Linked DNA regions of Drosophila melanogaster. The gene in region 1 interacts genetically with each later gene. Each region holds a gene or a part of one and is shown on either strand. Other genes may lie near its edges.

Region 1 (5,764 bases):
TTATATTAAGCAATTTGAACTAGTTGTTTAACTATACTGAAATTTTGGCTTAGATATGCATCATAAGGTAATACAGGAACTTGTATCAGTCTATAGTGGGCATCACTGCCTTCCCCACGCTTGGGACCTTGGCAATGAGGCACTTCCAGCCATGGATCCGAATACGAAACCGAACCAGAGCCAAGGACCCGACTTCGGATGCGGAAATGCGCATGCCTGCGTGTCCTTGCCCTTGGTCCTTGGTCCTTGGTCTTCGCCCGATGGAGCAGTAGTAAGTCTCGTAGTGCCCCTGAAAACTCTTTTAACCTTCGTGCAGCCGTGTGGCAAGTGCATCGATGCAGCTCGCAAACATGCGCTTTTGCACATCCGCTCTATGCAGAGAGAGAGAAAGAGAGACGTTTTTAACTGGATTCAGATTGGGTTGACGGGGGCATCCTCTTAAAAGGACCAAGGGTGGCGTCTGGTTGCCCCTGCCACGTGTCGCCAGTTGCAAATTTCACGACGCTGTCATTGACCATGGTATTTGACCACTATTGTATTAGGGCTGCCAGGGCCAGTGTCTCAATGCAACGCCCTCGTTGCATTTGGAGGTCCTCAAGGAGACAGATTCGGTTCCAAAATGCCCCAGAAGACTGAACCTGAATTGGCAAATGTCTGCAGTGGTATTTGCAAGGTTAAATTACATTTGCTATAGTTTATTTGTACAGTCGTTAAAACTTAAAATAATAAGCATCGATATTCCATAAAATAAAATAGTCAATATGCAATTTCAGAGTTTCTATTAAAAAATTATAATAGTGTAGTCACGGGGGGTTTTCTTGAAACGCTGTCCGGGAACAGTGATGATAAGTTCTTGAAAGTTAATCCCGTCTTGTCAACAACAATGGCAAATAAGAAAATCAAGGTTACAAGATGCTGTTCCCTTCAAACCTATCCCACAGCGTGAAAGACAATGAAAGCCAGATCCATAAGAGTGCAACCCCCGATGCTGGCTAAAATCGAAGCTCATAAAGGAAGTATCTCTGCCTGGGACCGACCTTACCAAACAAAAAGTAGCCCATCGAGTGTCTAGGAAACCGCTTGTCCTCTTACTCCTTTCTCGCCTTTTCTGCTTCGCGGCCCTTTGATACCCACTCGCTTTCCACACCCCAAGTCCAAGAGTCTGAAGTTTGCTTTCATTTCGTTGCCCGAGGGGTTGCAACTCCAGACAGACAGGGACCGACAACCAGGATCAGAAAACCCGAGAAATCCACCCACTCGCCGACTTTTTGCAATTATTTTTAATTTCTGTGCTACGACAACTCCCGGAATGCCAAAACTTTGCAACCCCAAAAGAAGCACGCAAAAGGGGCAAGTCACTCCAGGCGGGAACCACGATATGTACTACTGTACACGTCAGAAACATGGAAATAAGCTTGGAAAGCCCGGTACAGGGCAACTTGAAATGTTGCGATATCGAGATCATTAATTTGGCCTGTCTAGTTGGATAATGATTATTTTATTATTTCTTTTTATTGATAGTTCATCATTTAATGAGTTCCTAAAAATTTTAATATAGGTTGGTAGGGATTTTTATTTTTTTCCAAGCTAGTAGTAAAATATATTTGGGTTATTAAAGGATGAAATCAACACACACCTTCCATATGTTCCACATGAAAACATCAGCAAATTTCTAAAAAATTCTTTCTAATTTAGCTAAACCAAAAAAAAATTAACATAATGCTCTAAAGAACTTGTTTAGTTGTTTAATTGTTTAAATAATTTTTCAAGTTTCAAGATTTCAGATTTCTTAAACTGAAAAATTAGCATGATTTCGATTTCTTTCTAGCGGGCATCCACTGTGGCGACGTACACGTCCGCGCCTGAGTTCCATGTTCGGCGTCCATTGCACCCCCAATCTGCTTTGTACATTGACTTCTCTGCTCCGCTTTGTTCTCTGCATTCGCTGCAGGTTCTGGCTCTGTCGGCCTTCCGCTCTGCTCTTTCTCTCTATCACTCTCTGTAATGGTGATGGTGCTCTCCCTTTTCTCTCTCTGTAGCCACTGTGCATTCCCATACCACGACCTACCTTACCCACACCCACAGTGCGCTGCCGCTGCACAACTCCCGCCCAGGCAGCGCAGTCGGCGTCGACGGCGACAGCGCAGTTCGTTTTCATATTGAAAGTAGAATTTTTCACTTTTGCGAAAATTTGCAGTCCAGTCTCGGTCTGGTCTCAGTCATTTTGAATACGTCATGTGGAACGCACCGTCACCGTCGCGTTCCGTCCTCTGTCGCGCTTTTCCTCTTCTGCGCAATCGTCTTACCAATCGGCGGTTAACTTTCGTTTGTTAGCACCAGAATTCGATCGGGACAAATAGCAATCCTCTGAATGCAGATACAAAAAGTATCTGCGTGATGCGTCCGAATAAGTGGTGAACTCTTTGTACGTGAATTGGATTAAGGCAGAGTTGTGTGAGTTTTGTGTGCCAATTCGATGCTATATAAATATCACAAGTAACAAGGGAAGCACAAGGACAGTCTTTTCAATCACAATCAGAATAGTGCAAACAATTGCCAAAGTTTAAAATTTTAAGCTGTGACAATATTAAATACAGAAATATCTATAAAAAAATATGGTGTAACATATTATTGTGTGCAAGTTAACACTCGTCGTCATTGAAAATAATTCAACTAACAGAAATCCTTTATATATAGGATTTGTGAAACTGATCTATCTTTAAATAGAAAACTTATGCTTAAACTCATGAACCATTCAACAAAATTCACTTAACTGCGCATAACTGAACGATGTTAAGCATATACATATGTATAAGCATTATGTGACTCATGAAAGCATAAAAAACGGTCAAATAATATCAAGAACGAAAAATGTGCATAGAAATGCTCTCAAATTGTTTTAAAATAATAAACGAAGCAAAAAGTAAAAATATAAAATTTGAAATAGTTGAACAAAGGTTTGCGAAGTACTTAACAGTTCATACAATCGAAAGCCTAAAAGTTAAAAGTAAATTAAAAGCAGGTTGCTAAACTAAACAGAACAATACGAAAACCGACAAACATAAGATAGAAAAGTGATCATTTTATATTGCACAAAACCATGTATAAGGGTCGCATGACCTTTAACTCTCGGATATCAGGCGTAACTAAGTCCTCAATTAGATGGTTAAATTTATTGACCAAAAAAAACGAACTCGAAAGCACTTATCCTTCCTGCTGAATAAGCTCCTTTTTTGGACCCATTCCCCGGCTGTCTGACTCATTCCACTCGGATGAAACTCCGTCTGGAGTTGCAACCCTCATTAGAGGCGAGCCACACCCCCTGCAAACAGAACGCAGCCCCACCACCCAACGCCCCCTGGCAACTCCGCTGAAATGCAGAGACCCCAAGAAAACAGAGGAGGAAAGCTAACAGGGGATCTGCAGCCCGTTAACAGAGCGCTGCTTGCTCAACTGTAGACGCCCTGTTAGACTCGCCTTGGTGTGGGTGAACTTGAACACACATACACTCACGTGCTCTATTTCTCTCGGCGCTCTCTTTTTATTTGCACTGCTCTCTTGCTCGATTTATTCTATTTCAAGTTCTTATTTTGCAATGCAAGTGTGTGCGATGTCGTTCAGTGTTAAGGTCAATACATTGCCGCCTCGTGCTGTGGTGTGCGTTTTTGATTGTAGTCTGTGTGTGGGCTTGCACTTGAAGAAAATGTGTAATCAAAGTATAATTTTTTATTTAACCGTAACGTTGATTTTCACTTAAATTTACTGTGGCTAACAACATAGATTTAATTATTATTACTAACCAATTTTTTTTAAATTAAATAAGATGTTTGAAATCAATTAAACACAACTATGTATGTGATTGCAAAATATTCGAATAAAAGCATCATTTTATTAAAAGTTTTATTAAAATAAATTGTTATATTTTAAAAGCCTGTTCAACATATACACTCTGTCAAATGGTTGCAGCTCGTGAGGTTGCATTTTGTTTGTTGATTACGCTGCTATTGAATGTTGTCATGCACACGCGAGTGCACACACTTGCACGCCGAGTGTCATCGCCTTTGCTCGTTTGCAAATAGCGGTTTATTCGGCGCCTAGCGTTTGTATCTCCGTACATTTTTCTGGAGGTCTCCCCCACTGACGTTTGCGGAAACTTCCGCTATATGGCCGCCATCGAATAGACAGGGAATTGTGGGGCATGAGGCATCATCTCATGGCGCTTGGAAAAAATATGCATTTGTTTCGCCAATGCCAGATGATTGCTCTGATTTCGTGTTATAGACAGGTGAAAGTAAGCGATGTTGATAATACTTCTTATTAAGTATTAAACTTTTGATGCTTAGTGATAATGAAAATGATAAATTTATTAAATTAAAGTTATCTGTAACAAGACTAAAGTAGAACAGCCTTTGTTTTTATAAATTTATGTTCAGATAAAATGTTTGTAGTCACTTTTTACAGGATGAACATTCAAAAACTTTCAACAAAACATAAAAGGCCAAGCCCCAACCCAAACTAATTTAATTTTATGCGCAATATTCCCTTTTTTGGCAATACAGCTCCATTCATCAATTACGAGCAGACCCCGAACCTACCTCAATGCGTAACCCTGCCCTTACCCAGAGAAAATAACCCAGTGTAGCCCAGACCAACCGAAAAGCGCAACCCCACGAAAATCTCTCCACACGCACATTACTCATACGCACTGAAACACGGAAGTTGAGTCCCGTCAAGTGAAACCCCAAATGGGAAGCGAGCAACCCCCGAATAATCAACCCTTAGCCACAAAAAACTCCAAAAACTCCCCCTTGAAACTGCCCCAGTCCAAATTTTGTTAACCCCCATCGCAAAAAAAAAGTTTAGAAAAATCCGTGTGCGTTCTTCTCTTTTGGCTGGCTCATTCGCGTTTATTTTTGTTTATTTATGTTTTGCTTTTCGTATTCTTCACCTCAGCTTCCTCGTACGCAGTCGCTCTCTCTCTCCGAGCCTCTCGCTTTCGAATTCTTCCCATCTTTGCAGTCGGATTCTCTCATTTTTCATACGGTTTTCACTTTCATTGTGCAGCTTTTTGCGCGAGAACCGACTCGCTTTTTTGTCGCTCTTTTCTGGTTCTGTTCTGGCTTTCAGAGCTTTTGCTGTTTCAGTCAGAGAAAGTACGGCCAACGCAACGGTTGCGAATATATTCCAACCTGTCGCGATTCTAGCAAATAAACAAAGCCCCACTGGCCGAGCAGAGAGTGAAAATATAAGGAAAAAATATATTGAAAAATATTATAATAAATATACATATAGTGTCAATAAATCGGGGAAATGTGCAATAATTATGGGAGCTCGCCAAGGTCCCTTATATAAGCGATAGCCCATTGTCAAGGGCGCCAAGTGTTTTCCACATTGAGCCGTGGCCGTGGCCGTAACCGTGTCCGTGTATCGTGCTCGTATCGTATCCGTAGCGCCTCGTGAGCGTCCTTGTCCTTGTGCAGGCCGAACAGCTGCTTGGGTCCTATCCTGTCCTGTTCCGCCCCCTTCGGCCGCGACCTCGTCTTCGTCCTTGTTCTTGAACCGCAGTCCTCCAAAAATATCCGCTGCTACAGCAACTCCGCCCTGAAAACGACCTTCCCGTGCGCCCAGCTGTTGCTACCGACCACCCACTCGAATTCGACCCTCAGCTGTTGGCCATACGATATACGAAAAAGAGGAGAGAAGTTTGCTAGCATTAATGTCAGAAAATCGGAGATATCGCTAAAACAGCTGTGCGATTCCTACG
Region 2 (5,432 bases), on another chromosome or scaffold:
AGCCGCAGCTGCTCTCTAGCTTTCTCCCCCGCGAAGAGAGCGAGATTGCAGAAAGGAGCGGTGAAAGGAGCAAGGGAGGGAGCTGCGGGGAGGGGCTGTGGCTTGCCAGGATCCTGACTGTTGTATTCCGACATCTCATTTGTTACAAAGTTAATGTCGGCGCATTAAGCATGGCAAAAGCCCCACAACAAAATCGGGGAGCACAACGGAGCCCCCATGCCGCCCGTTTTGGTCCTGCGAGCAGCATTTATCGATTATTGGATTAGTGGACCCGGGACCACCTCTAGCTCTGGCTCTCTTATCCATAAAATTATAATGTATAGAGAGTAAATAAAAATGTGTATGCATAAATAAGACTACGTAGACCATTAGATAGAACATCTTTACACATTACATTAAGTTTGACATTATAAATATTTTAAGGTTATACTTTTTAAAATATAAAAACCCACTTCTGAGCATATATATTCTGTCTTCAGCATATTTTCTCGAACAGTTCACAAACTTGAATGACTGGTTCTATGAGGCTTCTTAAAATTCGTTAAAACTTAATTTAATACAAGCCTTGGTTCTTACTTTAATTTCTTGTACAAATAATAATCTAAATATCTATATCTAAATATATAAATATATAATTGTTGCAATAAAATCAGGAAGGTAAATGAAACATGATTGTGATATTAAAGTTAAATAAAATCACCCATCAAATTAGAAAAATATTTAAAAACAAACAAATTATAATATTAGGATAATATATGTATATTATAATATATATATAATTTAAAACTCTTTTGGTTATATGTGCACTTAAATATTCTTGATTTAGATCCAAGTACACCCACAGACACCAGCAGAAACATTTTCTTCTTCAATTCAATTACAGTTTACTGGGTGGCGGCAATTTCTGGGTGGAAGTTGGGGCTTTTAGGGGGCGGTTAGAATACGAGGCCAAGAGTGACGTCGTTGGCAGAGGGTCAAGAGGGGGGCCAAACTGTTAGCGAAAGGATCGAGGGGCAGGACGACGCAAGCTCGAAAGCGCCGACATCACAAAGGGTATTATAAAACAAAAACAAAATGTCAAAACCCAAGACGATTATACGAGCGCCAGCCGCGCAGCTGCGTCATTCGTTTCATGGTTGTATTGGTGGGGCGCCACCATTGCTCTGCTCCACTTCCGCTCTCCCGCCCACTTCCGTTTCCGCTCCCCGCCGTCGCTCAGCTTTTTTGAGTCATGATGGCGACCGGGCGTTCTCTGCTCTTTCGAGTGCCTTGGTATGTGTGCTTGTGTGTGTGCGCAGAGAGCGCAGAGCCGGGTGTTTATTGGAGATTGCGATTGCGGCTTGGCTTACCCACACTCGCAGGGCCGCACACCAACACACTAACACTAACAGCGAGGACAAGCTCCTGCCGCAGCATCAAGAAGGAACGAATCAAAGCAAGCCAACAAGCAAATGCGCCACCAGAGTTGCCACTAAAAGTCTCCGTTGGTGGGTGGGTGGTGTGCGGTTATCCTTCGCTCGCTGCTCCTTGCTCGCTGCTCGATGCTCTCTGCTCTTCCTGCTCCTATGTGTGTGTGTGTGCAGTGTATGCCGTGCTTTTTGTCCTCACACACACACGCGCGCGGCAAGGACTTCTCTGCCCACTCAGCGACCGCGGATTATATCCTGCGATATGGTTTTTTCCCCCTAGTCCGGGGTTGGCCCGTTGGCTGGTTGGCCGACTGCTGGAGTGGACACATCAGTGTTTAGCTCCTGTCACGCTTTTATGATAAATCTGAAATCCGGAATCTGAAATCGTACATCGAGACGTTAACATCATCATCGCGGCACACTCGCAGCGCCGTCGGATCGGATTGGTTCGGTTTCATCAGCGGGAATCAGAGGACCGTCCACTTGCCGTCGCCTCTCCACGATTGCAAATTAATATGGAGCCTACTGCGATGAACCCGAAAAGTGCCATTTAAAAGTGGTGTTTTAGAAATTCTTACAAATAGTGTCAATTGTTAATAAACTTTTCAACGAGGTGTGATCTTTAATCGCAGTCCGCCAAAGCTCAACAAAATGAATAAGGAAGAAAATTCCTCCGAAACACGACCATCTTCTCAAGGTAAATTAGTGTGTTAATAAAAACATGAGTATGGTGATGAAATATATTTATTAAGCTGTAAACACAAAGGTGTGGTTTCCTTACTTAAATACATAAAAAAATAAATATACAAGATGGCCCTAATGGTGGCTAAAAATTCCTTTACCAACAAATTTTAAAAAGGACAATATCACGTTTGTTGGGAAATTGTGCGTGAAATATAATTACGTTTCTTACACCCACGATTAATTAGGACGGATAAGATAGGAAAATAAAAAAAGTGATATGTTAAAGAAAAAAACGGAAAGGATGTGAAAGCAAAGATTACAAAAAACGACTGGCATCGTAATATAAATTAAATTTAAGCTTTTTCATTCTAATTACCCGACGGAAAAAATTGTTTCAAATGTGAGTTGTAATTAGTGCCGAAATAATAATGTTATATCGAAAACTAACACACATTTTAAGGATTGAGTTCCTAGCAAAAAAAAAACTTTAACAATTCATTTTATGATATTCAGATATGACTCCTTTTTTAAGCGAATTCTTATACGTCAATTATAAGTTTAGCGATTTGAATAGAAAATCTATTTTATAGCTGTGTGACCAATTTAAATATAATGTTAAGAAGTATAACTTTTTATATGTTGAAATGACTGGATCAATTGTAAAATGCCCAGACTAAAACATGAAAAGAAACAAGCGGATTCTGATCGCTCTGCTCGGAAATCACATTGGCAATTTTAATTACCAATTTGCAGGAACCAGTTGTCTGCGGAGACACTCAAATCAAATCGATGCCCAACTTGCTGATGGCATGCACGAATGGCCAGGCAAATTCAATTTGCGATAATCACCAAATTGAATTAGACTCCGAGTCAGGCCGCCAAAAATGTCAGAAATTCATAACACAGCCATCCCGGCGCCCTTAACACTTTTGTGTGCGCCAAAGTGAATTTCAACGAGCCCATAAAATTAACAAAGATGCCCCGGTGCCCCGGAAAATGCAAGCATATGACGCTAATCCTCCGGCTTTGGACCGCAGTCCTGCCAGTTGGTCCCGGCTGAATGGCCGCCTGACTTTGTCTTTCCATTCCAATGCCAAGCAGGAGCAAAACCCAAACCCAAACGCAAACCAGAACCACGAACCCAAATGGTCGAGCGCACAGCCAAGTGGCGAGTGTTACAAATGTGTCCTCAGCCTCGTCCTTGGAACGTCGAGGGTTAAGTGCATCAAAAAATCAGTAAGGAAACTACAATCAAATTAGGGTGTGATGGCAAAACAATCGTCCCCCGAGGCAAATTTGGCGCACAGATTGCTCGGCACGCTCTGGTCGAGAGCCGTTTGGCTTAATGGCACCCTAATTGAATGTGTAAATATATTTGCGGATTACAGGGCGTCAATGTCGCCACGCAGGGATAAGATCGGCAGGTCCTTTGCATCCGCAATCCGGTACAACTGACAAATTGGGATTTAATTTATATGAACTGCATAAGTGATTTTTTATTGCACCACCCATTACCACCGGGAAAACTGGTCTTAAGTCTGGTCGAAAATTTTAAATGTCTTATGCTGGAACGAGATTAATCATTTAATATGCCGATGAAAAGAATAGCTAAAGGACAATCATTACGCGTTAAGTTTAAAAATGTTAAGCTACAGTGCGGAAATTGTATAGAATTATACATTACATTTCTACATTCTGCTAGTATTAGCTAAACATTATGTATACTATTTTTCCCGTTTTATAAACAATTTTGAATATTTATTAATATTTAAACGCCAACTAAGCTTTAACCACTTGCACAATTCGTTGATTTTAAGATCTATATACGAGCTAATAAACCCAACTGTATGATCTTAATAAAGCCGTAGTAACTTCCCAGATAACAAAAAGATACAATTTCGATTCTCTTAGATACCATTCACTAATCTGCTTCATAACTTTAGAACTCCACAGTCCGCAGCGGCATTGCTACACTCCGCCGCCGGCGCCGATGCACGGACAGGCGCCTCCACCTACATCAACGGGCGTGGCCCCGCCCACACAGCCACCGCCCCCTCATCCCGCCGCCCCAAACGTGCCCAATGGTCGATTGCTGAGCTGGAATCACAGTGCCGCTGCAGCTGCTGCGGCGGCGGCAGCCCAAGCGGCAGCCAACTCCATGAACCACTCGTCGGCGGCGGAGGGTTCATCGATGACCCGGATTAAGGGTCAGAACCTGGGCCTCATCTGCGTGGTGTGCGGCGACACCAGCTCGGGAAAGCACTACGGAATCCTAGCCTGCAATGGCTGCTCCGGATTCTTCAAACGCAGCGTGCGGCGGAAACTCATTTATCGGTGAGTGCACACAGAAAGATATTTTGCGGACCTCAAATTAGAAATAAAAACTATAAATAACAAAAAGGACTTCCTTAACACGTCATATAGAGAGTAAAGTAATTATGCCATATAGGCATAAAGAGTAATTTAAACCATTAATACATATATTGATACTCCCCTGCAAACACTCCCATTTTGTGAATTTTAAATGTGTGGTGCCAGTTTTATTTCAGTGTAGCCCTAACTATGCTCCCAAATCCAGTCATTACCATTTCATTTCCATTAAATGTTGCAACATTTGCCCAAAAGTGGGTGGTGCCGGGATGGGTGTGGGCCGCTGTGCCCGGAGGCTCGTCTGGCGGATTACGGAGCTCCGGCAAATTCATTACAATTATTCAAATCTTTGGGATTTGAGCGTCAACTTTTGAATGCGCATATTTGCCCTCGCGTTGACTTTGTGCCCAGAATGGCATCATGTGCGAATGCCACTTTACTTTCGCTCCCCTCTCTCTGGATTGCAGCTTAAAATGTAATTGAATTTAAAGTGAATTCGTTTAAAACTTTTTCTTTTGACGTGGGAATTTTCCAAAATCTGACAAAAAAAAAAAAAAAGAAGAGAAGAGAAGCAAAAGCGCGAATCAAAGTTTGTCGAGCGTTTTCAATTATCATTAAATCAGAGAGAAAAATCCCATAATCCAAAACGACGGAATCAATGCCAGCAAAAACATAAAGTTATGATACAGTAATGCATGCTTTGCTCTGCGGCTTTCCAGCGGGCTCGGTAAATCACAAATGTCGAAATCTCTATATCCGTGTCCTGGTCCCATGAGATTGATATGGAGGGCTTAAGCGCAAAACACTTGGCCAAATGTGGCCCAGCACCCGCATCCATCCGCCCTCCCGACATCTTCGTCCATCGACTAAGCCGAATCGCAACAAAGTCAAAAAATGGGGGCGGTTCTGTGCGGCTCTACGGGATGAAATAGAGCAACATTCTCCCCCTGCACGGGAATGAGTGAACGA

The links. Genes that interact genetically often act in the same process or in processes that back each other up.
Region 2: of Eip75B (region 1) and Hr51, changing one suppresses a phenotype caused by changing the other (phenotypic suppression), as found in Drosophila melanogaster (one study listed by BioGRID).

Annotation. Positions count from the first base shown.
Region 1 is NT_037436.4:18,061,172-18,066,935, reverse strand, and holds the start of Eip75B (Ecdysone-induced protein 75B), read left to right. Parts: upstream 1-2,239; 5' UTR 2,240-2,425; intron 2,426-5,482; exon of another isoform or gene 5,483-5,764. UniProt on the Drosophila melanogaster protein: Implicated in the regulation of ecdysone-triggered gene hierarchies. Probably plays a key role in mediating the regulation of the larval molt by 20-OH-ecdysone.
Region 2 is NT_033778.4:15,329,541-15,334,972, forward strand, and holds the start of Hr51 (hormone receptor 51), read left to right. Parts: upstream 1-1,784; 5' UTR 1,785-2,060; coding exon 2,061-2,106; intron 2,107-4,036; coding exon 4,037-4,427; intron 4,428-5,432.